Alligator mississippiensis: one gene and its partners. The protein of the gene in region 2 purifies or fractionates together with the protein of the main gene of each other region. This does not show direct contact. Links are inferred from orthologs where the notes say so. Each region holds a gene or a part of one and is shown on either strand. Other genes may lie near its edges. The genes, in order: ARCN1, COPA, COPG1 and COPG2.

Region 1 (7,000 bases), on a different chromosome or scaffold from region 2:
CATTTCCCCTTTTTTAGCAAGACGGCCAGAACTGTCTGAATGACAAAGCAGATAGGAACAAGATTTTGCAGATTACCAGGCACTGAAATGGCCTCTCTGCATGCCAGACAAGAAGGATCAAGCAGCACAGATTACGGTGGCATGAGGGGGCAGAGCTCACCTGGTGTAGTGCACAGTGGCAGGTGGCTTGAAGCGATGCAATTCACTTATGCTCTCAACCCAGTTGTCGATGGCCTTGGGATTCTTCTCAGCATTTTCCAAGCTCTTCACTTTTACCTGCTGCTGAAAAGAGAAATGAGAATCTGGAGAGACGTGCTGAGGCCTGCGGGCTTTGTTTCTGACTGGGCCAGGTGGTTTTGCTGCTCTACGCCATCCCACTTCTGCACGTTGGAGCAAAAGATCAGCAGGGAAAGAACACAGTGACAAAGGCAGCAACAACCAGATCGGGGAGCAAAGCCCTGACGGAAGGAAACAAATGGATCCAAAGTCTTTTGATCAGGAGGGGCCTGTGGCCAACTGCAAACATATCCAAGTGTCTGGGCTTAAGGGAAAATTTTTTTCCAGATCCAAATCCCCATCAGACTAATCAGAACACCCATGCAGGTTAGAAAGACACTCATTTTTATACCACACTTAGCATGGGATTAACAGCTTTCCTCCCTTGGCAACTTACTGAGACACTGTGCTGCTTTGAATTTTCTGTTAGCCAGAGAGCGAGCACTGTAGGGTCTGACTGCTTTGTAGACGGCTCATCCAGTACCAACAGCCCAAGGTTATCTGGTTTGCCGTCAGGACGTGGAACCTGCAAATTAAGAAAGAAACCAATTGTTTTTGTTCTGTATCCAAAGCGAAGGAGGGTGAAGGATTTTTAAAATGGGAAACTCTAGACTCCAGAAGGAATGGATAAACCTGCTCATGTGCGAGATATGGATTGTTTGAGCTTCCAGTCAAGCTACCCACTGAACAGACACAGGCAAAGATGCAGTCTCTGCCCCTAGAACTTATGGCCTGTTTTAATGGAAGTCAATGGAGAACTGGTTGCATGGATGTCCTACAACAGCTTATGCACCAAGGGAAGTTGGGCAGGTCCCTACTCCTGCGCCGGGCAAGGCGATATTGCTGCTGTTCCAGCAACGAGAAAAATCCAGTGGTCTCCCCCTCCCTCTGCTACGACGGTTCCTGCAGGAGGTGGCCCTGCTTGAAGCTGGGCAGGAGGAGTTGCAGGGAAACCCGACAGTGCTGTACCTTTAAGAAGGCATCGATGTCGCCAACGGCTGGAATGAAGTCTGGGATGAAAGGCTGCAGGCTGTGCTCGAGCTCTACCGTCTGTGGGGTGTACCTGGGAGAGGGCAGGGGAGCGCACCCTCCTCGAGTACGCGGCCGGGAAAGACGCTTCCTCCCCCAGCGGAAGATCCTCGCGTGCCCTCCACTCACCTCCTGATGTACTGGAAGAGTTCTTTAATCTCGGCAGACACCGGTAGATAATCGTAATCTGCTGGGTTGTAGGCACTAAACAGAGAGAGAGACGCCAATGCAGTCTGTTTTGACAGGTCCCGATCACGCTGTCGTGACACGGGATCTGGTAAAAGTGTGCAGAAGCGGAGAGCTGTGCTGGGCTGACGGCGGGCAGGAGCCAAGGCTCAGGCACACGTTTTGGTGAGCAAGAGCTGACCGCGTCGGATGAAGCGCGCTCTTGCTCGTCAAAGCTCGCGCCTCCGATTCAGCAAGTCCAAGGCGCGGCTCTAGCCTGCGTGGCGCGGCGCGGCGCGGCGCGCACGGGTGCTGCAGCAGGGGAGCCCGGGCCGTCCCGGTTCGCTCCGCGCAGCCCGACAGGGCAGGAAGGACCCACGGTCCCCCCGGCCTCGGGCCGTGCCCTTCCACCGCGGCAACCACACGGCGCCGGCTGGGAACGCAATGCCCTCCTGCCAGGGGAAGAGAGAAGGGAAACGGCCAGGAGGGCGCGGGGCTGGGGTGCCCGGGATGAATGCGGGGCAGGACCGGGCAGGGGAAGGGCTCCAGCGCTGCACTTCCACGTCTGGGCCCGGCCGGGTCGCATGAGGCTCGCCCGCCGCCGGGGCACCCTCGCCTCCTACCCCTGCAGCGGGGCGCCGTGCTCCTCCTCCTCCTCCTCCTCCTCCGATTCAGACGAGTTGTCGTCCTCGTCCTCGTCCTCGTCCGCACTGAACCCTCGCGGGGCGGCCGCGTGCGGCGCTGCTCTCTGCTGGGGACAGCCCGGCCCGGCGCGGCGCTCGCCACACGCCCACACCCACACCCCCGCCCGGCCGCGAGCGCCCGTGGGCCGCCCCGGCCTAGTCTCCCCCCGCCCCGCCCCGCCACACGGCCGGGGGGCGTCGCGCCGCTCCCGCCCGCGCCCCTTGCCCCGCGCCCCTCACCCGGCCGCTCGCGCCGCGCTCCTCGTCGCTGCTGGTGTCGGGCGGGCCCGGGGCGCGGCGCGGCGCGGCGGCGCGGGCGGAGGGCGGCCGCCCCGGGGGGCTGGCGGCGCTGGCCTCCTCCTCGGCGTCGGCCGCGTCCAGGCTCTCGTCGTACGGCTGGTTCTCCACCGCCCGCGTCTGCGGCACACGCGCCTCAGCCTCGGCCCCAGCCCCGCGCACCGCCCGGCCCTGGCCCAGCCCTCCGCCCGGCCCCGCTACCTGCAGCGCCGCCATCCCGCCGGGCCGTTGCCGTTGCCGTTGCCGTGGCGACCGGGTCTCGCGAGAGCGGGGGTGGGGGGCGGGGCGGGGCAGGCGGCGCTTCCGGCTGCGGACGTGGCTCGGCGCCGCCATCTTGCGGGCCCGGAGGACGGAGCAGGGCCGGGGCCGGGCCGGGCTGGGCCGCGCGCGCCACCGCCGCCATGGTAAGCGGTGCCGGGCCGGGGCTCGGCCGGCAACCCGCGGCCCTTCTCGCGCCTGCGGCCAAGTGGAAGGGGCCGGGGCCTCCTCCGCCCGCGGCGGCTGTCGCCGGGACGGGCAGGGCCCGCCGCCGCCCCCCGCCAGGCCGCGGGGCCGAGGCGAGCGGCGGCGGCCCGCTGTCACCGGCTGGATGCGCTGCGCACGTGCGGCCGGGCCGGGTTCGCTCCCCGCGCCCTTTGTTCCGGCCGCGGCAGGACGTGTCCGCCGCTGCCCTCCGCGAGCCGGGCCTCCACACCGCTCCGGCCCCGCCAGGCCCGCGGACCGGCGCCGTGTCATGCCCGCGCGGCGCTTCCCTCCTCTTCCCGGGCGGGCGGGCGCTCCTCGAAGCCATGGCCCGGGCCCGGCCCGGCTGTCTGAGGCCGGGAGGAAAGCACTTCAGCCATAGTTTTGCGCCGCGGATCCTTAGTCGGGGTCTGGTTTCCGCCGGAGGGAGGTCATTGTTTAGGCAGCAGAAGCGAGGCCGTGAAGCGCCCGTACCGCGGCGCGGCGGGGCACAGACGACACGAGACGAGGCGGCTGCTGCAGCGGGTCGGGGCTGTGGCGGCGCGCTGGTCCGTGCAGCGTCCCGCGCAGCCCGGCTCGGGCGCTGGCGTGCGTTGTACGCCTTCGGTCTCGCCCCGGGAATCCAAGCGGGGTCTGCCCCTCGCTACCTCGGGCTGCCGTGAACTGACAGAGACGTTTCTTGCAGGCTGCCGCAGGTGACGGGTCCTCATATCTCTGCGTGCAGGGTCTTTCTGGGGAGTCTGGGCCCAAGTTATTTGTGTCGGTCGAACGTTTGGGAAACAGGATTTTTATCGTTCTGATCTTTGCAGGGTTGAGACCAATGGCCGGGCTGGTGGTAGGCACCCCGCGGCTCCCCTCCCCCCCTCCTGACACACTTATCGGGATACTGCCTGTGTCGAATCAAGACGAACAGGTCAATGTCCAGAGCCACCGAGTCTCGCTCAGCTGTGGAACGTGTTCAAGCCTCAATCGCGTTGGTTTGATTTCTGTTTTCCACGTCTAGGAAGTGGTTCTGTTGTTGCGAATTCGTTCTGTCAGCGATCAGGATGTGACAGTGACACATCACCACTTCTTACCTGTGCGCGGCGAGCTCTGCCTCCCTCATATAAACTTGGATCAAATGCTTTGTAGTTTAAAGGCCCTTTAAGATTGATACTGGGTCAGGTTCCTGCGGCTTCATAACCTCTAATGTGTCTGTTACCTGGCACAAGTAATCCATCACCTGTCCACCTCTTCCGTCAGGTGAGTTGATGGTGCAGAGTCTCATCTCTTGTGGAGTCCTCCTTTTGCCTCTTCCATTCGTAGTCGGCAGTCTTTATCTGCTGGAGGCCCCCGGTCCCACGTAGGCTGCCTGTCCCCTTCTGTACAGGGGTGCTCCTGAAAGCAGAGTGTCTTGTTAGTGATGCAAAACATGTTTGTGGAGCTGGTCTCTGAGCCCCGCGGACGAGGGAAGTGCACGAGGCTCACTTCTGCCTGTTTGTTTCACAAGGGATTTGCTCTGCCATAAAGCTGTTGTAGCCTGGAGAGGATTTAAGCAGTTCATTCAAGGCATCCACACACCCCGTCCAGCTCTGGGAGCCCATACAGTGAAAACTTATGGCCGTGTGTTGGACTGATGTCTCAAATAGGTCTTTTTGATAGTTGCCAGTGTTTGTCTCATTACCAAAGAGCCCTAAGTAAAGAAAAAATGGTAAAGTCTCTGTGAAACTTTGATCGTTCAAGTGGAAGTAAATTCTTTTAGAAGGAAATGTTTGGAGTCACTATTTCGCCACGTTTCATATTACCGTTTTCATGACAGTATCTCTGAAAAGTCCAGTGGAGCATTCTGTGAGCTGCATTAATGTCCTGTTTAATATTTTATTAACAAATCCAGTACAAGCATAGCTGACTTTTGAAATGGGCCCTGTAGAGAGGAACGGTAGTTAAAGACATTCCCTCATTTGTTAACGCTTGTAATCTCAGTTTAAAAGCAGTTTTGTAACTTCCTGCTATTATCTGTTGCCTTTGTATTTTTGCATTTCATTTGGTTTGGACAGTGGCACTCAGCTTTGTGTTTTTGATTAGTTCTGTGCCTTGGCATTCCTGCAGTACCACAAAGATGCAGTGTAGTTCCTCAGGCCACTAAAAAAAACATTTGAAAATAAGCTCAGTAAAAAGAAGGTCCAGAAGCTAAATTTTGGAGCTAAAATCCCTTCAGTGGGTAAAAATGAACACTTATCTGCAAAAAGCAACATTGCTCAGGTAACAGCTGATGGCTAAGTGACCTGAAGCTTTATGCGCACACGCAGTGGAACCCGAGAAATACCCTGAGCCAGTCTCAGATTGATTTAATAATACTACTGTAGGCTTATAAAAGGTAGCAAATGCCACTTGGACTTGTTCAGTAATAATGTCCAAACTACTGCAACAGCTTTATAGAAGGTTAATATTTTTGTAGTGCTGTTTTGCCATTCGCGCTTCGTTGGACAACGATTCCTTGCCTATCTATGCATGAGCTATTGGTTCAACAGCTGAAGGCTGTTAATGATACAAGTTCCTTTGCCCTAGCAGGTGGCATTTGCTGTCTTTTACATGTGTGAATCTTATTTTGCAGTGAACGCCTGCGTAGAACTGCGGGTGGCTGAGCTGTGTTGTGAACTGGATTGGGGGGTGGGAGGAGCAAGGAAAAGGGAAGGTGGGTTGGATCATGTCTCAAGAGGAACACAGGTTTGGGTCCCTCCTGTGAGGGTTCGTGTTGCTGTGCCAAATAGGGTCATGTAAATACTTTCTTCATTGAGCGCTAAGTGTGCTGGGCACCATACAGAGGAATGCAGAAACCAAACCTCTGGTCAGAGACCTTTCCTCACAGATAGACCAGTACCGTTCAGAAGACACTTGCCCAGAAAATCTGTTTGCCTGCTGAGTGGTAGTAATGATGCTTGTATTTGCTGCAGGTGCTGTTGGCAGCAGCTGTTTGCACAAAGGCAGGGAAGGCCATTGTCTCGAGGCAGTTCGTGGAGATGACTCGAACCCGCATCGAGGGGCTGCTGGCAGCCTTCCCCAAGCTCATGAACACGGGGAAGCAGCACACATTTGTGGAAACAGAGAGCGTGCGCTATGTGTATCAGCCAATGGAGAAGTTGTACATGGTTCTGATCACCACCAAGAACAGCAACATCCTAGAGGACCTAGAAACACTCCGGCTCTTCTCCAGAGTGGTAACTACTACTACTTCTGGGTCGCTTAGTACAAACCTTGTAAGCTCTTTGACCTGGAAGAAGTGTTAGGAGGTGCTGCATTGGAGAGCTGTTCCTGCAGTACTCTGCCTTCTTAAAACAATCCGATTGTTTTGTGGCCTGTTTCTGTTAATGAGCCTGCTCCTGCGAGCTCTTGTACTAACCCTGGCCCAAGTAGGACACATAGTGAGTTTTAATTGAGATTTAAACAAAAACAAGCTACTCTTCCACTAAGATAAGAAGCTAACAAGTGTGTAGAGCTCTAAATAAAACCCTCATACCAGCTATTAAAGTAAAATGGTGTGAACAGAATTTACTGCATGTTCTTGCTATACTAGTAATGCTGTTTTAAAAACCTCTTTGCATATTTATTCAAAGTGTTGTCTTTATAAAGCTTTATAATTGTCCATCAGCCAACTAATTTCTGGAGCTGTCTTGGCTATCTCTTAGCACAGCCCGGGATCTAGTATCTGCTCAGGCTTCTGTGGATTACAAGGTCACTGAACCAGAGGATTATAGCTCCATTTAGTCTTTTAAAAAGTCTTCAGCAACTTATTAAATCATGCAGCTTATCACCACACTTTGCTTATTTCCAGTGCTGTGAAAACTGGTTTGGATAGCAAGTGGAAGAACTGGAATTATGGCATTAAAGAAGTGTTGGTCTGGCATTTTGGGGTCACTTAAGGCTGGGTCACAGGAACATTGTCCTGGGGGTGGAAATGACTTCAGTAACAGATCTATGTAAAGCCTCTCTGCCACTTCAGTCTCACTCAGGCCCTCAGACTATGATATAAATGATGTCCAGCCCTTGTGCCAGGGTTCAGCACCAAGATAAGTTTGCTCTGTAGTGTGGTGGGAGGAGCAACTTAGCGC
Region 2 (7,099 bases):
GAGGCAGGAATCAAGACTTTCTTTACGACTGAACAGCCCTCAGCATATTGTGTTAATCTGGGATCCTAGTTTTCTCCAATTTAAAAAAAACAAAACAATTTCTAGATTTAAAAAAGCAATCCAAAATCCATATCTTTCTGTGATTAAAAATGAAAACCACTAATATATAGATATCTATAGTGCGGTTTCATTTTAATCACAGAAAAAATGTGGATTTTGGGTTACTTTTTTAAACCACAAATGGGAGATTCTTTTTTTTTAATCAGAGAAAACCAGGAACCCTTATGATTACTACCATAAAAGAAAAGCAGACAGAGAGTATTTCCTCTACAGAAAATGAGGCAAGGTGCATAACAATGACTTATACTTCAAGTTACACTGCAGGAAAACTTACATGGTGGAAGAAGGTGGTACGAATGTAATCCAGGTGTCCCAGCAGGGTGAAAAGGCAGCGGCGTAGCTTATAATTCCAGACCTGGACAACAATAAAACAAAACACTGTGAGAGGCTTGCCAAACTCAGCCCCGATCCTTGCTGACAACTTGTTCTGGACCTGCAAGAAGCCAGCTGCCTCACAGACTATAGTCTCTTTCATTTTACATGACCCGAGTCAAGTGAGAAACAGACCTCATCACTAAGTTTAGCTCCCCGTGATGCCCTCCTGAGCTCAACTTCACCATTTCCATTGTCTTTTGATTTTTTATTATTAGGCTCTAAGCTTGCACGCATGTTTCACACATTTTACAGCTTTCCCATGCTCTACTACACACCCTGACTCTTTGGACAATGGGAAGTAGGAAGGAAGGTTTTACCTTGATTTTGTAGTCATCACCTCCAGAGACAAAGAGAGGTTGCTGTTTGTGGAAATCAATACCACGGACAGGTCCTGCAAGGGGAAATGGGGCATGTGAGACACAGGGATAGAGCTAATAGTTACATCAGCAGTCAGCGCAAGCTATCACTTCACTTGAAGAAGAGTGCAGCTCTATCACTTCCTACTGCGTTTCAATGGATGAAGTAACGCCTCAAAGTGACAGAGCAGCTTCCTAAGACCTCCTCAAAGCAAGTTTTCTTCTCTCTACTGGGCTTTTCTAGCCACATCAATATAATACCTAAGAATCTATTACACGTCCAACAAAGCTATCCTTAAGACACCCCTGTAAAGCAAAGCAGCATTATCTTCATGTTACAGCTCAGGAACAGTGCAAAGAGCAAGTAATTTGCCCAAAGCCAAAGACAGAATATGCAACACAGCTAGAATTAGAAACTAGACCTCTGGAAGCCCAAACCTGGGAATCAAGTAAAAGATCACGCTTCTTCCCCTCACATGCTTGTCATTTTCTGCAAAGTGCCTGCTGCACTTCAGTCTCTTCCTGAAGTGTTATCTCCTACATCCCCCCCTACTCCAGCTCACACACTCACCATCGTGCTCATCAAATTTGTCAATGAGGGTGCACATCCGGTAATCCCACAACTGGATCACACCATTGTGCAAACTTGTTAGGATCCAGGGCCTCTTTGGGTGAAAGCTGAGCCCTAAAACAGACAGACAAAGAAATACATAGGGGTCAAGTTTCCAGTTAAGTGCAAACTCTGGAGACAAAGATAGCAGTGGAAGCAGGGAAGAACCAGTCATCTGGACCTGCCAGGTCTCAAACACAGGATACAAGTGGCTGTTAAACTCCCAAAGAGGAAGCATGCAAACATACCTTGCTGGGAGGTTCATAGGTCATAGCTGCTGAGAGATTTATTGCATCATAGTTCTGATTACAAATGAGTTTCAGCAATAAGAACGAGGAAGCATCAGCTCTCTATGAACATTTGGAAATAAACCTGGCACAGCCCAATTGAGATGCTTAAAAAGCACATCCTCAAGCACCACATAGAACATGATCATCATCAGTGTTAATTTTCAGGCTCTTCTCACCTTGAGATACCCCAAAGGGGCCTCAGGGTGGGTAGAAGTCGTGGAATCACAGACAACGAGGGCTGGGAGGGACCTCAGGAGGTCACATCAAATCCAAGCCCCTGCTCCAAGCAGGACCAGCCCCAACTCCATCATCCCAGCCAAAGCTTTGTCTAGCCAGGTCTTAAAAACCTCCAAGGATGGAAATGCCACCATCTCTCTTCCACCTTCCTAATAAGACAATTTTTCCTAATATCCAACCTAAACCTCCCATGCTGCAAGTTAAGACCATTGCTCCTTGTTCTGTCATTTTCAAAAAAAAAAAAAAGAAAATTCAGGTCCTTCCAAGGGGCCACAATCAGGCACCTAAAAGCTTCACTGAAAACATCAGCTAAGGGCTCCAAGATAAAGGCAGGCTGCTTTACTCCCATGTGCCGCCAATGGCTTTTTTTAAAGCCTCCCAGCGCTGCGGGGACGGATGTGCAGACAGAAAGCAGCAACTGTCACCGGTGGTAAAAGATATCACTGACATCTACCACCCACGAGCTCGTAACACCGGCCTAGAACCAGCAACGAGCTAGGAGTTAACAAACATTAAGAGACACCAGACCCAGGGGTTTCAGGAGACTGGCGCTGCCAGCCAGGCCCCGGGGCTGGACTGATAACACCCCTGATGCCAGCTGAGAGGGGCAGACGCTGGGGCAGATGCAGAGGGCAGAGGCAGAGGCGGGGGCAGGAGGCAGCAGCAGGGGGGGGAAGAGAAACCGGGGTCAGGACTGGGGTGTGGGGGAGCCCACGGGAGGCAAAATAGCGTGTGAGGGGGGGCATGGAAACTGGGATGTAGGTTGGGGGAGGGGGGGGTGCAGGGGATGGACATAGGGAAGAGTGGAGCAGGGCGCTGGGATGGGCCCGATCCTGAGAAGCGCCGTGCTGAGGGAGGGGCCTGGACTTGAGGGGAGGGTGCTGGGATGGGCCCGATCCTGGGGAGGCCCCGTCACCTTTCACCCGGGCCGACTTGGTCTCGAACTTGGTGAGCATCGCGACCCGGCCCCGACGCCCTCCTCGGCCTGGCCTCCACGTCGGCACCGGAACTGCCCCACGCCGCCACTTCCGCTTCCACCCCGGCCCGCCGGAACCATAGAGAGCGAGTCCTCCGGGGCGGAAGGAAGGGGTGGGGGGGTGCGTCGTGCGCAGGCGCACTACCCCCACCCCCTTTTCCCCCGGGCAGGGGCGGAAGCGGAAGTGCCAACCAAGATGGCGGTAGCGGCGGGGCAAGCCGGGGGGCTCCGGCGGGCGGGAGGAGGAGGACCCGGAGCCCCGTGGGGCGGCGGGGCGCTGCTCCGCGGGATCCTGCTCTGTGTGGCGGCCTCGGGTGAGTCTAGCTGAGGTGACCCCCAAGCAAAGCCCTTGGCCGAGGGCGACGGAAAGCCGGGCGGTTCAAACAACGCTGCTTTGCGTGCTGTTTTTCCCTCCCTCCCCCAGAGCACTGGGCTTGGCTCGGACCTCAGGGCAGGACCACGCTCAATACGAGACCGCGTCTTCCCCTCGCTCTCCTGACTCGCAGGTTCCTTGCAGGCGAGCCCAGCTTCAGCTGCGAGACTCGAAACGTTCGTTTCGAGGCCGTTTCAATGCCCTTCGTTTCGTTGCTTCGCTTCGAGCTCCAAACGAAGCAGCCGGCAAAACTTCGCGTAGCCCCGTGCTTCCTCCCGTGCGTTTCCTTCTGCCGGCCGGGGTGGCGCTGCCTGCTTGTAAAGTCGACCGCACGATTTTGGCGGATACAAAGCAAAAGTGGCAGACTAACTGACACGCTTAACGTGGCTCCAAGTGGGTTTTTAGATGCTGTTGCGAAGCATTATAAAGCAGACAGGCAATGCATTGACATTTTAAAGGTATGCCAGAGGCAAGGAGTTTGGGGTTTATCTCTTATTGGACCAACTGCATGGTTGGGATAAAGCTGGACACGCTTTTGAATGCAAGGTGTTCTTCCGATGGTCAAAATGTACAGAAGATGCAAAGGCTTGGTGAAAGGTGGATTCTCGCCGCTCCTGTATCAGGAGGATCATTGGTGATCAGTTTGCAACTCAGCCTGAGACCCAGCTGCAGGGAGTCGGCGGTGAAAGCCTGCCTGGCTGGGAGCAGCTATAAAGGATAACCAGGAAGTGCGGGTGGGGATAGAGAGGGAGTTAAGAGCTCCAGAAGCGAAGAGCAAGAGGGAGGAGGTGGTGGTGCCTGGGGAAAAGTACAGAGCCTGTCTCACTCCTCCCAAGCTCTGAAGGAAGGCTGCAAGTTTGGGGTTTGCCATTTGCATGTTTGCTTGGTTTGTTGATTTTCTTTTTTTTGTGGGGACAAGGCTGCCCCATGTAAAATAAACTGTCTGGAAACCTTGAACATGGTGCTGACTGGCTTTAATAAGGAAGCTGGGTGAGTGACCTGCTTCCAGTCATGATAGTAGAGAGGGAAATGTGGGCATACGAGCAGTGTGACCTTATCTGGAACATCCCACTAAAGTGGGTGGTGCGATAAAAGAAATTGCTCCCCGAAAATCCTTGCCTCTGGATAAAAGAGCTCCTGGCTCCCAATCCTGGCATGGTCCCCTGAAGCATTTTTTAGTGGACCCATCACGGGTGTTGTGTTTCTGACGTGCATTTGCAGTGATCATCACATAGTGCTCTTTGCTGATTTTTTTTATTTTTTTTTTTTTATTCCGTGTGTTCCTAAATAAACCAGTCAATGTACGTTCAGTATTTTTGGGCAGGGACAGAGGTAACAATTGTCAAAGAATGCTAAAAAATAATCTCTCCATCCTGTTCATCTTCAGTTTTGTCCTGCCTTTTCAGGTTCTTGTTGGGGTAATTCTGTGGAGAGGAAAATCTATATTACCTTAAATAAGACTGCCCCATGTGTTCGTCTCTTGAATGCTACTCATCAAATAGGCTGTCAGTGTAAGTATGACCGAGCACTTGTCTTTAGCAGTTCTTCTCCTTTAAGCTGGGAGGATGCAAGATAAGGGAGACGTGTGTACACCTTAAACATATGGGAAACCCTCAGATCCTATGCCTTTTCTGATCAGAGTTGTCCCAGAAGCAGACGCAGTTGAAAGAGTAATATAATGTAACTGTTTGCTTTGAGTTTAATCAGTTGGGCATCTTCCTTTTCCTCTCATGTCTCTAGGCTAGTATTTTAAAGCTAGATAGGTTATAAGCTTAGTTTAGTTTTGACTTTGTGCATGTGTGTGTTTGTGTGCTGTCAAGGTTTGGGGTTTCTTAGGCTGGGAAGAGGAGGAAGACAAATAAGGAACGCTGATTTTGAAGGGTTTCCACATTGTGGTTGGTGAAAGGGCTTCCTGCCAGTTAGCATGTTGCTGATTTGTGGTTGAACATCTTGTTTCCTCAGTAGAAGCTTTGCCCCACAGTGGATCTTGTCTGCTGTGGTTAAAGGATGGAAATGCACATGGTCTAACAAATAAGCTAGCATAGAGGGGTTCTCCAGCTCTTCCAGGCCGTGGGGTGAGCCATGGTTTAATTCAGACTGCCTTCTAGTCTCCTCCCTTCCAATACCCAGGAGGTGTACAGCTTTGAGGGAAATGGATTTCACTGAAACATGGTGATGTTGTGCATGTCTCTCTGCAGCCTCTATTAATGGAGATACAGGAGTGATCCATGTGGTTGAGAAGGAGCAGGACCTGAAGTGGGTGCTTTCAGATGGACCCCATCCTCCATACATGGTCCTGCTAGAAGGGGAGCTCTTCACCAGGTAATGGGCCACTGTCAGTGCTAACAATTATTGACCCTCCTCTCCTCTGAGATGACAAACAGGGGCACTGTAATTTGGTGGCCAAAACTCTGATTAGGACTCCAAGGAGAGATGCCTGTGGCTTTTTCAGTAGCCTCAGGTGGAATTTTAACCCAAGCAGGGTGTTTGAGGGACAGCCTTCCCATGGCTCATTTTATGGGTTGTTGCGCCCTTGCCACCCTCCAGAGAAGGCAGTGCTGAATATCGGTGCCTTGTTTAAAAAAGCATTTGTGCATTTGATGCGAGTTAGTACCTTGCTTGTTTGTCTTAATGGATGGTTTAGTAGTTCGAACAAAACTCAGGAGCCCAGTTCTACATCCATGGCAATTTGTGAACCCTCCTTAGGGTTGCGTTTACAAGCACTGGTAGAGGCTGTGAGGAAGAGCTTTAACGTGTAGTATAGAGCCTTAGCATAGCCTTGGAGGAATTATTTACATCTCAGCCTTTTTGGTAAGGTTTTGTTTTCCACTACAGTTTGAATTTCTATCTCTTTCTTCCTTCAGCACAGGATGTCATTTAAAAAAAATAGTAATGTTTAGGGAAGAAAAGGCCCTTTTCAGGGAGGGAAGCAGCATGTCAGTAACATCAATAACATTTGTCTGTTTTGGCTCTCGTTCCTATTGTCAGATGAATGAAGTCCTTGGCCATCTCTCTTGGACTTGACATTTGAGCTGAGAGATGCAGTGCCCAACCCACTTTCTTGTCCTGTCTGGGTCCGCAACTGGCCAAGTGGCCTGAGTGGGGGTGGGGAAATGACCTTCCCAAGGGGCTTGACACATCATCCAGCTGGGTGTCAGCAGTGCAAACCATGCAAGTGCTACATCACTGATGAGGATGCACGGTCAGCTTCATCTTTCCTTGATTTCACTTGGTGGTACCTGATCCTGGTCTGTGCCTAGGTCATGGTCCTATGCAGTACGTGGGTATTGGCTATCTGGAGTTGTGCTTATTCCCTCTGTTTTCCTGTTTCCTAAAGAGTTCTTCCTGGTGTGAACTGTGAGTGGGTGATGGAGTGGATTGTGTCAGTGGAGTAGGTGAGCTGTGTATTTAGTGTTCCAGTCCACTGCTTAATGATCGTGTAACCTCAGGGAAGTTGCTTTGTGCAGCCATGAGACATTAAAAAGTACAACTCTCAGGAATGCCGCAGGGACTTCATGAATATTTTTATTTATTTTAATTATTTTTCATGAGGGTCTTTGATCCTTTCACTGTCTTCCCCTCTGAGATCGGTAGAGTATGCTGGTCTGTTTTACCCCCATTTCTTTTTTTTTCTTCCAGGGAGCTATTGCAACAGCTGAAGGGAACCTCACGAGTTTCTGGGCTGGCTGTGGCCCTCTCCAGACCGAGTCCTTTACCAGGATTCTCCCCTGGCTTAAAATGCCCCAATGATGGGTTTGGTAA
Region 3 (7,293 bases), on a different chromosome or scaffold from region 2:
TTCCTACTTCACAGGTGTTGGGAGGATAATGATCAATAATGGGTCGGGTATGGAAAAGTCAGGGAACAAGCAAGCAGAGAGGAGGGCCTGGGAATCCACGGTACCTTCTGTCTGCATATTCTGGAGCCACTTTCAAGTCCAAACAGCCCCAGGGGCTTCTGTCAGACTAATGTGGGAAGTGGGAGAGGCACCAGAGTTGCTGTGTGACACAGAACAAGCAAAAAATGAGATAAATGCTGCTCCCGTCTCCTGACCCAGTCGACAGCCAACATTTTACAGATCCCTGGCCCCCAACCCCTGGCTGGCAGGTAGCTTGGGGGCCCCTAGCAAGAAACTATTTCTTGACAGTTTTGTTTTAACGAAAGGAAGTTGATCTTTAAGGAGAATGTTTCCCTGTGCTTTGGACAGAAAATGAAACAACTCTGGGGATAATACAGAAAGCAAAATTGACAGGTGAGGTTTACAGGAAATTGAGACAGGTTAAGAGCTAATGGACAGGAACAATGGATATTTGTCTCAGCAATCTCTGGGACCCTGGGAAAAGAAACACAAGTCAATTAGGCCTGGCTCTTCCCTTTATGTCGGCGTAGCTCTGTTGTTGCAGTAGAACAATACCTCCTGCTTACAACATTATGGGATCAGACATGACCTCTGGATTTCTCTCTAGACAGGTTTCCCTCCGGCTGCAGGGACAACTGTCTCTTTGTGACTCAGGCTACCAAATCTGGCACTTCACCCAATACACTGTACTGCTGTATATTTTTAAATATGCCAGTTTCCAGACATTTGAAATACAAGGTCTTAAATGTGTTTCCTTCTTGCTATCTCTATGCATCTCTCTTTATAAAAAAAAGATGTTCATTCTCCTGTATAAGAGAGTTTATATTTATCACACTGAAGAATTTAGGAGAGAGTGCAAAGAAAGATGGGATATGTAAAATAAAAGGAGTCTTATCAAACACTTCTGTTGTCTGTATAACCATTCGACTAGTATGTCACATCTGACTGCATCATCATAACCTGGTAGGACCCTGTCCCCCAAGGTAGCATGCATCTCTATCGTTGGGGACCAGACAATAGATGAGCCCAGAAATAAGTGAAGCTGCAGCAAGTTGCTCCTTCCTTCTATTGGCATTTTGTCTCCTGAATAGGGTAGTAACCAAGCCAGGGGTTGATAGAAGTGTACCATGCTGGCAGTGTGCAAGTCATTTGGGAGTAAGGTGGCAAGTAAGAGGCAAAGTCACCCCTGCGGTTGTCAACTGACTGAAGAGTAAAATTATCTCTTGTGAGGTCCTTCTGGACCAAGAGTGAAGTGGAGACAATGTGGGTCAGGAACTGCTGTGATGATAGCAGGCCGCAAGGAGAGCAGTTCCCATCTAGCAGGATGTAATTGTGCAAAGCCCTTGAACAACTGCTTTGGAGCTGACCCAGGTATAGCAGTGACAATCTCTGGCAACAAGCCATGTTCAAATCCTCCTTGACCAAATTCAATGGTGTGTATAGGGAATAAAGAGAAAGCAGAGTCATTCGGCAATAGAAATAGGAGCCAAATTAAACCTGGTTCATGGAAAGCAGTGAAATGGCACCAGTTTATGTCAGTCAAGTATTTGACCTCCCCCCACTTGCTCCACATGTCTTATTTGGGTCTCCAACCAGGGTTTTAGCAGAAACAACGCTCTTGCCAGCCATGAATGCAACTGTGTGTAAATGTGAAACGTCACATTTCACCGCTGGACCCTGACTCCCACGTCTTTGGTGAGCCTTTGAGATAACAGCAGAGAGCAGGGACCAGCCACCAGGTACAAAGTCCACTGCCTGTTTGCACAGGACAGGTAAAGGACTGGCTGGAAGGAGAAGCCCTCCTCAGCCCAGCTGCAGCTGTTTCTGGACACTGCCATGTTCTTTGATGACTACTTGATCACTGGTAAGTACGCTTCTCCTTACAGATCCTTGCAGTAGGTGCTAGCAGCAAAGTTACAGTATCTGGCAAGATGTTTCTTAAGAAGGGCTCCTGTGCACTTTGTGATTCAGAGGGTCAGGCAGGTAAGATAAATTGGTGCAGCGCCTGGAGGTTTCAGCAACAGGTGCTAACTCTACCAATAAACAGTGCTAGGGGTGAGTAGTAACAGCTAGGCTTCCTTTTGCCAACACTTAGACTCCTAGGTGCCATGATTTTTCCAGAGAATGATGACATTCCCCACAATGCGGCTTCTGTACAGTCTGACCTCTCCGTCCAGAGAGGATGGAGGACATGCAGCCAGTGCCATGACCCACTCGGATGTCCCATCTCACTTGCTGAGCAGAGCTGGACTGGATCTGAACTGGGAGAGTCCTTGGGTGTTCACTCACAGGTGGGGCTATAGCAATCCTCAGCGATTATAGTGGTAGGTAACACCTTTCAGTCTGAATCAGCGCTGAACAGCCTGGTAGCATGACGCTAGGCGGAGCTGTGCTCCATTGCTGGAAGTGTCGGCTTTCAGATGAGATGTAAAATGTAAGCCCTGCCTTCCTTTAGTCATTATGGGAGGTGCACAGCCGTGTCCTGGCTGAATTTCACTGAATTAATTCCAGGTTTCCCTAAATGCCCCTGCATTTTTAAGTAGTGTTGGAGTGATGCTGTAGCTGTGATGGTCCAGGCAGTTGGTCCAATAAAAGATAGCACCCTCAGAAACCCTTGGTCCTGCATTTTTTAATGGGATTTTGTGTCCATTCTCATTCCCAAACCATTGTTAGTGAAATGTTCAATGGATGCCACATCCCACACAGGCACACAAGAGAGGGGAATGGACTGAGACAGAGGCAGCCAAGGGTGTTGAGGACTCATAGTGCTAAATTACTCTGGCCCCTGCCACACGTTACATTTCAAGCATGATTAACCAGTTAATCACATCTTAAGTTGTAACCTGGCCACACGTTCAATCATTCAGTGATATGATACATAAGGAATAAGGCACCAAATTATTCCACAAAACACATGTAGTAAGTTTGTGTCTGGTTCCTATCACACCATTAATGGAAGATGTAGCCAGGTGCACCCCTGGGGCTGGGAGCACTATCAGCTGAGAGGGCTCCCAGCTGCAGGTGCTTACCACTGGCTGCTGCTCTGGGCAGAAAAGACAACTGGGGTCAAATAACACCAGCAAGGTGTGTGTCCAGTCTCCTTTTGAAGACCTCCAGAGTAGGTGCCTGCACCACCCCTGCTGGGAGTCCGTTCCAGAGTCTGCTCACGCAAACTGTATTTGTATGATAATTTTAACCCTTGTACAACAGATAATACTGAAAGTGTTCAAAATGTACAATAATTTTTTCACATCATTATATTTGGGGGAAAAAAACCAAGTAAGTCACTCCACCGACAATCTGAGCTGAACTAGTTTATTTAATCCTATGATCTCACCCGTTCTCACTCGCATTGAATTGGAATTTGAGAAGGAATAAAGTGAGTCATATCTGCCATTTATCTTTAACTGGAGATTTAAACAGTGAGCAATAGAAAGTAGCTGCATAACAAACACATCGCTAAATCCCATTGTGTAATAATACTAAGAGCTTTATTTTAAATACTATGTAACATCTTAAATTGATTGGAAGTCAAAGGGGTTCTGCGCCTGCCTCGCTTGCAAATTCCAGGCACGTACCTAATACAGCCTGCTGCAAAATAAAGCGTACAAGATTTACAAGACGCAGCCCCGAGCCGCGAAACAGAGACAAGAACAATCGCAGTAATAAATTCAGTTTAACCCGCAGTTGGAGAAAGACTTAAACCAAAACCTCCTGGCCAAGTCTTTGGGGAGAGGAGGTCTCTTTTATTAGACCAACTAAATAGTTGCAAAAAAAGGCTGAGCGGGCAGTGCCAAGCAGGGGGGCGCAGCCTGCGATGACACCAGCAGAAGCGACCACATAACATGACGTCACTTTAAAAAGTCTTATGTGCACACTTTTTGTTTCAGTGCATGACAGTTTTTCAGAAAATACGGGAATTGACCTTCCAATTTCATATTTAAAACCCGCTCCCTGCCCCAGACCACAAACCAGCCTCGTCCCGACCCAGCGCCAGCGCCGGACACCGCCCCGCGCATGCGCAACCGGCTGCCTCCCTCTCGGGTCGCAGCCCTGGGTTGGGCCGTGCCCCGCCTACCACCTAGCACCACCTTCCGCATAGCGCATGCGCAGCCCCCTCCTTTCGCCCGGCCACGTCGAGGTGAGTGACGGCTCCGGGCGCCTTGCGCGTGCGCACATGCGCGAGACGGGCGGGCTGAGGTGTCCCAGTGACAGCCTGGCAGGAAGTGGCGTGCGGGCAGGAAGTGGCGCCGCTGCTGGGCTCGCGACCCTCTGCCCCCCGTGCCGGGCTTTGCGTTCCACGCGCCCCCCACCCCCTGCGCCAGGATGCTGAAGAAGTTCGATAAGAAGGACGAGGAGTCGGGTGAGGCGCGGCCGCAGGACGCCCCCTGGTGGTGGGGATGGGCGGGGCAGGGGCACCTGCCCATGCAAGGACAGCAGGGCCAGGGCTTTCTGCAGTGGGGCAGGGGCAGGGGCTGCGGTGATGCTGGGCTGGCATCTGCAGGTACCGGGCCACACCGGTGCCCCTCTGCTGTCGTCCTGGTGCCCTGCTGGAGGTACCACCGGGCTGCACTGCTGCCCCATCCCCTGCCAGGTGCAGTGCCAGGGCTGGCGACACAGCCTGCCCCAGGTGCTGATCCTGCCCAGGGTTCGTACGTTCTCTGCACGTGGAACCTGACCTCGGCCATCCGTGTCCAGGGGTGTTTCCACCTCTGCAAGGACAGGCTGGCTGGCTCCACGGGGCCAGGCCAACCTGGAAATGCTCAGCAACAGGGGGTGCTACCGTGGTATATCGTGGAGGACAGGGGCGAGGGTTGGAGTGATAACGAGGGATTGGAGGGGGGCGCGGAGCGGGGGACATCAGCTGGTGCCCACTGCTCCTCAAACGCATCCAGGGCTATGTGGTGTGCATTGGGAATGCGGGCTAATGCCCACCATGTAAAGCTACAAGCCCCCCTTTAATATGGGGTGCCACAAAGTGCACATGACATTATTGCTGGGGACACCTAAAGAAGAAAATGGGGACAGGAGTGAAGATCAGAGGTTTAAAAGGGGCACACCATGGAGGGACACAGAGCAGAGCACGCTGGCCAGCACCCACTGGCTCACCACCAAGTCCAAGGAGCCAGTGAAACTCTGCCTGGAGACGTGAACACAAAGGCAGGACAGGAAAGCAGCCCTTGAATGCATCTAGGGAGCCTGCAAATGCTGCCCAGTAAAACTGCCTGGAGATATGCGTGGAGGAAGAAGATCTGCCCACAGGTCCCCAGGTTGGCTCCACCCTGGGTGTCCTTCCAAGTCTGGTAGATGACAAGCTTGGCCAGAGCCAAGTGGAGGTTGCCCAGCAGACCTGCCAGGAAGGGATTTCCTTGGACTTGATGACCCCAGAGGTCCCTTCCAGCTCTTCTCTATGATTTCTATTTTGATGCATGTCAGACCTGTTGATATAGGTTTGGGCCTTCTCTGAGCCTGTTTCTCCTTCAGCTCAGTACTTCCTAACGATCCTAATGATTTTGTGCTTTTGGGGGTGGGACTAGTTTTTTGGGCTCTCTCTCCAGGGACTCTATATAATGGCACCTAAGACACATGTCAGGGCCTCTCATGGTCTGTGCAAATGTCAGAGAGGCTGTTAAGGAGGCTGATTGAAGATGCGATTGGTCCTTTGTGTTGTGGCTTTGGCACTCTGTCCACCTCAGTGTACTTCACCCTGCTTCCTACAAGCTTTTATTTACTGTATCCACCCGGCCTGCACATCTTGGAGACCCTCCAAGTCCACGTGAATATTTTTGCTCTGGTTCTTGGTGCTTGTTTGCATTAGGCTTTTCCATGTTAAATGAAGTTTCCTCTCTCCGAGCTACATGCACAACAAAAAGCTAATCCACAGAGGATTTCTTTCAGTCTTGAACTCTTGCCAAGTTCAGGTTTAAGTGATGTAGCGTGTCCCTTAGCTTACTGACCTCACAGATTAGTCTAGTACATCCAATCGTAAAAGGACAGAGAAGATCATTTTGTGGGTAAAACCTGGTAGTCAGGGGACCAGAGATCTTTTCCAGTTCTTCCACATCCTTCTTATGCAGCCTGGGCAAGCCATGTAAGGGCAATTTCAAAAGTGGCCCCAACTTCTGAGTGTCCAGTGCAAGGCATGTAGCAGTGCTGAGCATTCCCAACACCCCGCGGAGGTCAGCGGAAGCATGTCCACAAACCAGTACTCAATTAGAGGTCATTTTGGTAACTGTAGCCCATAACTTATGTGCCTTGGTTTTCCCCATCTCTGAAATGGGGATAATTATTTGGGTTGCAGGATGCTTTAGTAGTTAAGTCAACACAGATAAAATGCCTTAAGATGCTTAGGTGCAAGGAGTTGGAGAAGGGTCAAGCAATTGATGATGGTTAGTAATATTAATGACAGGTTTGAGAATTACAAATATTAGAAGCCAAAGTGATCCTTGGGTTGCAGGAGTGAGCAGAGTTAGGGGCACTGGATGCTGTTAAGCCTTCCCTGCTAGGTGAGCTTATTCAACCCGCTTTTGGAGTACGTACATCTACAAACACTGGCATTCATCGCTCCTCTCTTGTCGTCTCCCTTCTCTCTTCATCTGCACATTTAAGCTTTGTTCAGCCACATGTTGTGTTGGTGAATGGATCCCAAGGTGGAGGGGTATCTCTTGCCTACATGAAAGGAACCAGTGCCTTTAAGTATAGATCTGAGTCTCACACAGACTGCTTCTCCCTTATACAATTCTTCAGGGCCAGATCATAACAGGGCATTACATGTCAGGGACTATACTGAATGCAGGCAGCACCAGTGTTGAGCGAGGGTGGCTTTGGGTCATGTTGGGTCCACATGGCAAATTGAGTTTAGGCACTAATGAAAATTGCTTATCAATAACTGCCAACTCAGGCAAGGCTGAAACTCGCTGATACGTCCAAGAAGGGCAGATAATGGATGCTACACATAATTGTAGTTCTTGCCCTGTGAGCGTTCCAGCTCTAATTGTTGATGTTTTTCATCAAGTAGCGTTTGGTCTGTTAAATAGGATGATTAAAGAGACTCTATTTCCAGGCTGTCCAGTCCACTGCCTTGTTCGCTTTAATTAACTGTAGATCTGAAAAAATAGCTTATTGATGGATTCCGCTGATTGCATGATGGAGCAGAGTCTAACACAGTCCTGATTTACCGGGGGGATGGGGAGGTAGAGCTTTGTGGGTTTATGGCTATGTTGGATTGATTTC
Region 4 (7,584 bases), on a different chromosome or scaffold from region 2:
TTCAATTTATTTACATCTATATATAAAGTTTCCTTTGAGATTAGGGGCATTTCTACTTACTAGCTTACGCGTCTTGTCTAGGACCACATCTATTATTTGCTTTCCAACAGTGTAGTGACCCCGAGCATAGTTGTTGGCTGCATCCTCCTTTCCGGTGATGAGCTGCTCTGGATGGAACAAGGAGCGATAGGTGCCAGTTCTGATCTCACCTGGAAAAGCATGTTACAAGTTTTGTTTTGTTTTTTTTTTGTTTTTTTTGTTTGTTTGTTTTTTTGTTTTTTTTTTTTTTTTTTTTTTTTTTTTTTTTTTTTTTTTACACACACCAACCATATGCTGCATTTAAAGACTTCGATCTCGAGGTGCTATTACCCCCAATAATGAATATAGCCATGCCTGCATCACAGACAGATCAGACTAAAGCCAGCCATGTGTGTTACCTATGACCGTGGGTTCCAGGTCTATGAACACTGCCCTGGGCACATACTTCCCAGCTCCAGTTTCACTGAAGAAGGTCCCAAAAGAAGAGTCAGTTTGTTCAGCTGTTTCCGAAATGATACCATTTGGTTGGAGCCCATGTTCTAGACAATATAATTCCCAGCAGGCGTTGCCCATCTGGACTCCAGCCTGGCCAATATGGATTGAAATGCACTCCCTCTGCATAAAGTTGGGGAGAGAAGCAACATGAAGTCACACCAAGATGCTACACTTCTTAACTGTCCCCTTACTCTCTCACTCGATTTACCTCCTCACCCATGGAAAAAAGACTCCAGGAGGACTGGGCAGCAATCTCGGCCCTTTCTGCCTGGGCTACACAGGCTGTCAAACTAGGTACAGTAATTCATGGGTGTGGATGCACAAACTTCTAAAAGTTATGTTAACCCTTATAGGCAGATATATCAAAAGGGTTCAAGTGCAGCAAAACAACTCCAACTTTAACCCTGGATGAAGGAGTGTTGAAAGTGGAGCCAGTTCTGCACTTCAGTTGCTCTCAGTGTGTTCACACACAATTAGAAGGTACCAGCTGCTGCCCTTTGGAAGTGCTCCCCTTTTGAAAGGGGCTCCAAACGTTCACCCTAGGCTTAAACCAGCCTAAGGGTTAGGTCAGTCCACACCCTAATGGGCCTTTCTGGCCCCAGAAACTGGACTGCGTGTGTGTCCCCCACTTCCCTCTCCAGCCACCACCATAAGCAACTGGAGACAGCTACACAAAGCCATTACAGGAAAGTTCCTCTTTTCAATAAGAGGTCAGCTAGCAAAGTTTATTTCAGGGGTTTGCAACTAGTAGACTTAAGTTTCCTCCATGCCCCCCTTGCCAATTGTAGGAAGCAGAAGCTACAAGTAAAACAAAGCAGAACAAAACCCTGAAGATCCAGCAGTTCCTAGAGCCACACATCACGAATTCCCCAGGATGGGAGGATATGGTTTTCCCTTTAACTCGGGGATAAAGCCATTCAACAACATGCTCATAAATTCATACTCAAGGTGTGAACAATTGCAAATGACCATTCCTCAACATGCTTCATGCTCCCCCCTGCTACCCAACATTGGTATCTTTTTGAACATCTCAGAAAAGACCAAAGATCACAGCTACCTAGAGTTGCACTAGCATGCCTAAAGACACAAATTGAAGCTTATTTAGTTTAAATAATGGGACAAATAACACTTATTTTGGTGTGGCTACTGTTCCTAGAGCTGTGGTTTCATTAGATTCATTCATTCAGGCAAAATAGAGTTTTTTTAGTTAACCTTAGAAACAGCATTCATATGTAAAGAAGAGAAATAGCCTTACATATTTCTAGGCTAGTTAGGAGAGTGAATTTGAGTTACTTTGAAGTTTAGTCAACTAGGACTGAATCTGGCAGAGTAGGAAGAGAGTGCAGACAGGTTCTAGCTGAAGCACTATCAAACATGTGCAGCAAACAACACAAGAGATACCTGCTCTCTGAGAAGAGCACCAATTGTTCCTCCTAACCACAGTAGGCAGAAGCATTTCAGATCAACGTTATTTTCCTAATTCATTAACTCCCAAACAGAACAACTAACTATAGAAAAGGAATCTGCTCTCTCAACTTTAATAGGGAAAAAAAAAAAAGCTACACGCCAACACTTACCATGGCCCAAAAAACCCCCAAACCAACTAACTAACCACAAGCAAAAACACCATCTTACTAGTGTTTCCACTGACTAATTTTATACCCCTCCTGAAAAAACCTCCCAGCTGTTCTGTGCAAAGAGCAGCTTCTTAAAGGGGAAATAATTTTGTTTCTCCTTTGACCAGGGTGGTTTAATAAAACTTAAACAACTGGGTAACGATGTGTATGTGTGCTATTAGTGGCCTGGGCTTGGAAGACAGAACCTGGCTTATGCTAGTATTTGGGACATAAAAGCATCGCTCTAATACTCTAAGTATCACTCTAATGCGAACAAAACAAAGGAAAAGACATTCAATTTATAAAAATTCAGCACATATTTTGCCTGTTTTTAATTAAAGAAAGGGATAAGGAGCTGAAACCAAGGCATTTTACCTTAGATATGAGGGGAAAAGCACCCAGGTATGATGTATAGTAATCCCCCAAAGAAAATGGTGAATGCTTTGTTTTTTAAATAAGAAATAGCTTTGTATTAATCTTATAATTGTTGTGTCATCTGTCAGAGGGATGTCTCCTGATATCGTAAGGAAGTGGGTTACAGGAGCTAATAGGCCCTATCCTTCTTAATTAGCGTAATAATAAAAATGGAAAAGATGAAGCCATGCAGAGTGTGCCACAGAGACCCCCAGCTATGGGCCAACGAGTCTTCAACCGCGGAGCAGGCGGAAGAAGGTGTTAAAATCCCAACAGCTGCAAAGGCTGCAGCAGAAGAGACCCCGGTTGCCTTGGCCTTCTTGCCATTGGATCAAGGTGCCGTCCTGCCAAGAGCTGCGTGGAAGCTGATGTGCAGGAACTTCTCCACGATAAAGGAAGTCACGCAGAGGCATCTGCCGTCTTCCAGGCCAGCTGTAAAGAACAACCTCACACTAGCTGGAGGCAAGGAGGACTTAGCCCTGCTTTTGCATGGAGACCGGCATGCATTCAAGGAAAACCCCTGCCTCCAAGCCAAGCCACTGGGACTTTCAGGCCTGCACGTACGATGCCCGCCAAATGATTTGGAAACATCTGGAGCCCCAGGCAGGGGTAGAGGATATTTGCCGGCAATAGGACCACTTATGGTTCTTAACTAACTCACAGATTTGGAATTCGGTTTGGCTGATTCGGCTTGGAACATGGAAAATTTTCATTAAAAAACAAAAAAACCCCTCTATCTTTCACTCCTCCTCAGCTTGTTCCTGCCACCGTGCGGCTGAGGGCAAGCGAAACTCGGGGGCATCCGAACCCCAAGCCTCCAGGCTTGGGCCTGCACGTAGGATGCCCACCAAAGGATTTGGAAGTATCTGAAGCCTAAGGCTGGGGTGGAGGCTACTTGCCGGTAGCAGGACCACATCATCTTGGATGGTTCAAATGGATTTGCACCAGATTTGGCTAATTTGACACACAAATTTTTCCTTCTAAATTAACCCCCCCCCCAAAACTATGACTTCCAGTGAACTCACAGGTGCAAAGTAAGTAGAGCATGGGTCAGACATTTGCACTGTAGGGTAAACAGGCTTATTTGTCACCTTGAGGGATGTCCAGGTAACCTATTCTCCCCCCTCAGACGGGGAGGCTAGAGAAAAGGCGATTGCTGGGGACAAATAATAAAAAACCAGGGATGGGAGTGATGGTCCAAGGTTAATAAATAGTGCCAAGGGGAGATATGCCAGACTAGGGTGACCGCCCGTCCTGCATGGGGTGGGACAGTCCTGCAATGGGAACCTCAAGTGCCAATCTGGGCTGTGGGACTGCGGGACGGCATTCGACATGGATTGGCGTCTGCAAATTGGGAAATGGTGGGTTTCCCTTTGCAGGCGGGAAGCATTGCAGCCTGCAAGGGGCTGCTGGGTGCAGGATGCAGTGGGAGCTGGGGGCGCCACGTGCACATGCTCGCCTGCACACGCGCGTGTGGCTGGGAAATAGAGAGAGCAGCTCCCTGCAGGTAAGTCTATGGGGGGAAGGGGGCACAGATCGAGGCCCCCGCAGTGAGGGCAGGAATGGAGGGGCAGGCGCTGCTCAGCCCGGGCGGTGCATGGGTCCAGGGTGGTGCATGGGGGGCACGTGCCCTTGAACGGACCCGGCGGGCACTGCCCAGGGATGCTCTGCTCCATGACGGGAATGAAGGGGAGCAAGGAAAACAGCCCTGCACTGTTGCACCAGGACGGCTCTGACTGCTGGAGGGCGACATTGTGCAGCCTGGCAGTGAGGGGGGCACAGTGGCATGCTTCACCCCTGGCTGGGCCAGCTGGACTCAGTGCACGTGGGCTCAGCTCTAAAATAAGGCCGCTGCACCTTTAAGAGCCCCCCCTCCCCCCCATCCCGGTCTGAGCGTGTCCCGCCTCTCTCAGCCGGCGAGCGTTCGCTCTGACAGGCAGCTCCGCGGGCCAATGAGAAGACGCGCTGCGGCAGACGGCGGGGCGGGTCTTCCGGCGGAAGTTCCCTCGCGGCTGCACCTCCGAGGGGCAGCAAGCGGCTGCGACATGATTAAAAAGTTCGACAAGAAGGACGAGGAGGCCGGTAGGGGCGGGCGGGGCGGCCGGCCCGCTGCATTTCCGGGTCTGTGACGTAGAGCGGTGTCGGGCCAGTCGCGCCCGTCGCGCGCAGGGGCTGCTGGGATAGTAGCGGACCTGTCCCCGCGGGGAGGGCCCTTCCCGGCCGCCGTCGTGCGCGTTCTAGGGGCCCCGATGGTGTCTGCAGGGCCTGAGCAGTGATTCTCAACCGGGTGACACTTGGCCATATGGTGTCAGTGGGGTTACAGCGCTGATTCTCAACCGGGTGACATGGGGATGTGTGATGTCAGTGGGGTACAGCAATGATTCCCAACCGGGTGATATGGGGGATGTGTGATGTCAGCGGGTATGATGTCAGCAGGGTAAAACAATTATTCTCAACTGGGTGTATGGTGCCACGTGGTGTCACTGGGGCTAAAGCAGTGATTCTCAACCAGGCAGTACTTGGCCATATGGTGTCAGTGGGGTAAAGCAGTGATTCTCAACCGGGTGATACGGGGACATACGATGTCAGTGGGGTTAGAGCAGTGATTCTCAACCGACCTATGGTCTCTGTGAGGCTAAAGCAGTGATTCTCAGCCCCCCCCCGAGGTGCCTCGGGATCCTTTCGCGGGCGCGCCGTGTCACGCAGACCTGGAACCCCCTAGACTTCAGCGAGCGACCTGCAGCGCATGGACACGTCTAGGATTTTGAACGGAGGAGCTGCCGTGTCGAAACTCGTTGATCGGCCGTGACGCGACAATGCATCAGATGCCCCAAAATCAGCCTCCTCTTACCCCGCGCACAGCTCCCTCTCCTTTCCGACCGGCCGGGTGTGCACTGGGTAAAAATAACCTTCAATCCGCAGCCGGCGCTTGCTGACCGCCTTGTTGGCAACCTCCGTGCTGCCCAGGACAGAAAATACTTGGAGCTCGCTGGCATTGCCTCATCCGATCTCCGCAGCGCTGCTCGCTATCAGGCTCAAAAGCGCCCTGTCTAACTTGTGCTCGCTGTTTGCGTGCAGACCGCGGCAGCGTCCGCCTGTTAAGATTGAACGGTTTAGTCGAGGTTTGGACAGTCGACTTGAATTCCCTCCTGGGCGGGTGTGGGGTGGATGAGCCGTTATTTCCCTCCGGATTTCAGTCTTCGTTCAGTAAACCGCCTAACTGTGCGGTTGCGAAGGTGGCCAAGATGCCGCTGGGAGGCTGTAAGCGTCGTTTCCTTGCCGACAAGCGCAGGGGCAGCGGTTCGGGTGGTTCTCCTCGGCGCTTTGCCAAGCAGCAGCAGAGCGTAGCTTTTAAGGTAACTTTTAATGATTTAGATCGTTTTGTTTCTATCGTGAGGAATCCTTGGCAGAGCAGTGAAACGGGTGGCTCTGATTAATGTCATGTTGCTGCTGGAGACGCTGAGAAACAGGAACTGGGATTGGCGATAGGACATGGAGTGGAGCAGACACCCAGGGAAGTCGTGGGCTCTCCGTCACTGGAGGTGTTCGAGCGGAGGTTGGTCGGGGGTGGACTAGCATAGCTATGCCTGTGTTTTTCCTGGGGGTATTTCCCAGGTTTTGTAGCTTTGCTGGTTTCTGCATTGGGCTGGGAGGGGATTTTTTTCCTTCCTGCTGCTGTAAGTGTCAGGAATTTTGTGTTTTGTTTTTTTTAAAGCCTTTCTCAGTCGTGGGATGTTGGCGGCAGCTAGGGCTGGGGATTTTGACTGGGCCGTGCCAGTGCTTCTGCTGGGACGAAGCCAGAGGTTCCTTCCTAGACAGTCTGGTCCCCCCGCTCGGGGGCAGACTGATACCATATCGGGAGTGAGGAAGAAGCTTTAACCCGTGGTCAGACAGGAACAGACCGTGGGTGTGTTTGTCTTCCTGTGTAGGGAGCAGTGAGGTCCGCTGTAACAACTCTTGTAGCAGCAGGACGTTGGCTGCCGTGGTCCCCCGGCTTTACTCGTGGCACATTAGGGCGCCGTGTTTTGTGTTGCGTCAGGATTGACTAGTTTCCTGAAGAGTTCAGAGTATGGATTTGTCTAGGGTGGTTTGGATAAGATTGATCCTGCCTCAGGCAGGGGATTGGGCTAGATGACCTCTGGAGGTCCCTCCCAGCCTTGCTTCTCTACAATCCATGAAAGACAGTTCAAAATATGATGTCTCATGGGTAAGAGGGATGGATTAATAGAGCCCCTGTCCCTCTTTTGCAGGAACTAGGAGGGTCTGGCATGGAAAGAGGCAATAGAAAAACCTTACTGTCTCTTAACTAATAGAAAGGTTTCAAGTTATAAACTTACTGGGTACCCAGAGGCTGATACAGAGCCTCAAACAAGGGTTTAGGGCTGATGCCATGGTAGAAATCCAAGTTCCTTTACTCTTCCTGAAATTGGAGATGTGGTGGGGCCAAATAGGTTGCCCCCCTTGGCCTTTGCTAGTGGGAAGTCTCTTACAATCTGTTGTACTTACCTGTGCTGACAGATTTAGCCTCCTTTCCACATCCGTGTCTCTGCTGGCAGAAGTCTTGGCAGCGGACAGACCACCAGCTGTCAGATGACATAGGTGTCCAAACACGTCTACAGCACTGTGTGGCTCCGCTCAGCAGCTGTGAGGCCACAGCAGGAAGTGGGACTTGAGAACAGGGCACCAGATGCCAAAGGGACTACAGCCAAAGGCACAGGTGTGTCTGCGTAGGCTGGATGGTGGCAGGAGCTTAGCAGAGGTGGTGTAACTTTGCCAACAATAGTGTAGGTAAGCGTTTGCCTCCTGGACTGTAGATACCTGGTAACGTTTCAGAGGGATGCGCTGCTCTGTTATGTAACTTCTACCTTTTCTAAGGACAGGACTTTCTGGAAGGTCGTCTGAAAGTTTGACTAAGGCTGGCTAGTGTTAGCAATTATATTGTGATTTGTAGCAGACAACATGACAGGGGTTTGTTCTGGGGACATGTGAATGTGATGGCTCCGTATGCTGACCAGTGTGT

The links.
Region 1: the proteins of COPA (region 2) and ARCN1 fractionate together in Homo sapiens (co-fractionation; 4 studies listed by BioGRID and IntAct, with this or other methods). This does not show direct contact. The link is inferred for Alligator mississippiensis from reciprocal best matches to the Homo sapiens genes COPA and ARCN1.
Region 3: the proteins of COPA (region 2) and COPG1 purify together in Homo sapiens (affinity purification with mass spectrometry; 6 studies listed by BioGRID and IntAct, counting the BioPlex papers as one, with this or other methods). This does not show direct contact. The link is inferred for Alligator mississippiensis from reciprocal best matches to the Homo sapiens genes COPA and COPG1.
Region 4: the proteins of COPA (region 2) and COPG2 fractionate together in Homo sapiens (co-fractionation; 4 studies listed by BioGRID and IntAct, with this or other methods). This does not show direct contact. The link is inferred for Alligator mississippiensis from reciprocal best matches to the Homo sapiens genes COPA and COPG2.

What each region holds. Positions count from the first base shown.
Region 1 is NC_081839.1:34,978,737-34,985,736, forward strand, and holds the start of ARCN1 (coatomer subunit delta), read left to right. Parts: upstream 1-3,992; 5' UTR 3,993-4,100; coding exon 4,101-4,154; intron 4,155-5,845; coding exon 5,846-6,109; intron 6,110-7,000. Other genes in the region: IFT46 (intraflagellar transport protein 46 homolog), read right to left, coding at 161-282, 674-802, 1,246-1,339, 1,435-1,509, 2,094-2,221, 2,394-2,570, 2,652-3,185. UniProt on the Homo sapiens protein: Component of the coatomer, a cytosolic protein complex that binds to dilysine motifs and reversibly associates with Golgi non-clathrin-coated vesicles, which further mediate biosynthetic protein transport from the ER, via the Golgi up to the trans Golgi network.
Region 2 is NC_081838.1:15,764,748-15,771,846, forward strand, and holds the start of COPA (coatomer subunit alpha), read right to left. Parts: upstream 3,013-7,099; 5' UTR 2,945-3,012; coding exon 2,905-2,944; intron 1,537-2,904; coding exon 1,423-1,536; intron 887-1,422; coding exon 813-886; intron 476-812; coding exon 395-475; intron 1-394. Other genes in the region: NCSTN (nicastrin), read left to right, coding at 3,161-3,278, 4,744-4,848, 5,536-5,659, 6,977-7,095. UniProt on the Homo sapiens protein: The coatomer is a cytosolic protein complex that binds to dilysine motifs and reversibly associates with Golgi non-clathrin-coated vesicles, which further mediate biosynthetic protein transport from the ER, via the Golgi up to the trans Golgi network.
Region 3 is NC_081835.1:19,921,553-19,928,845, reverse strand, and holds the start of COPG1 (coatomer subunit gamma-1), read left to right. Parts: upstream 1-4,279; 5' UTR 4,280-4,386; coding exon 4,387-4,423; intron 4,424-7,293. UniProt on the Homo sapiens protein: The coatomer is a cytosolic protein complex that binds to dilysine motifs and reversibly associates with Golgi non-clathrin-coated vesicles, which further mediate biosynthetic protein transport from the ER, via the Golgi up to the trans Golgi network.
Region 4 is NC_081827.1:5,731,123-5,738,706, reverse strand, and holds the start of COPG2 (coatomer subunit gamma-2), read left to right. Parts: upstream 1-4,565; 5' UTR 4,566-4,609; coding exon 4,610-4,685; intron 4,686-5,961; exon of another isoform or gene 5,962-6,056; coding exon of another isoform or gene 6,057-6,120; intron 6,121-7,584. Other genes in the region: tubulin alpha-3 chain, read right to left, coding at 61-209, 438-660. UniProt on the Homo sapiens protein: The coatomer is a cytosolic protein complex that binds to dilysine motifs and reversibly associates with Golgi non-clathrin-coated vesicles, which further mediate biosynthetic protein transport from the ER, via the Golgi up to the trans Golgi network.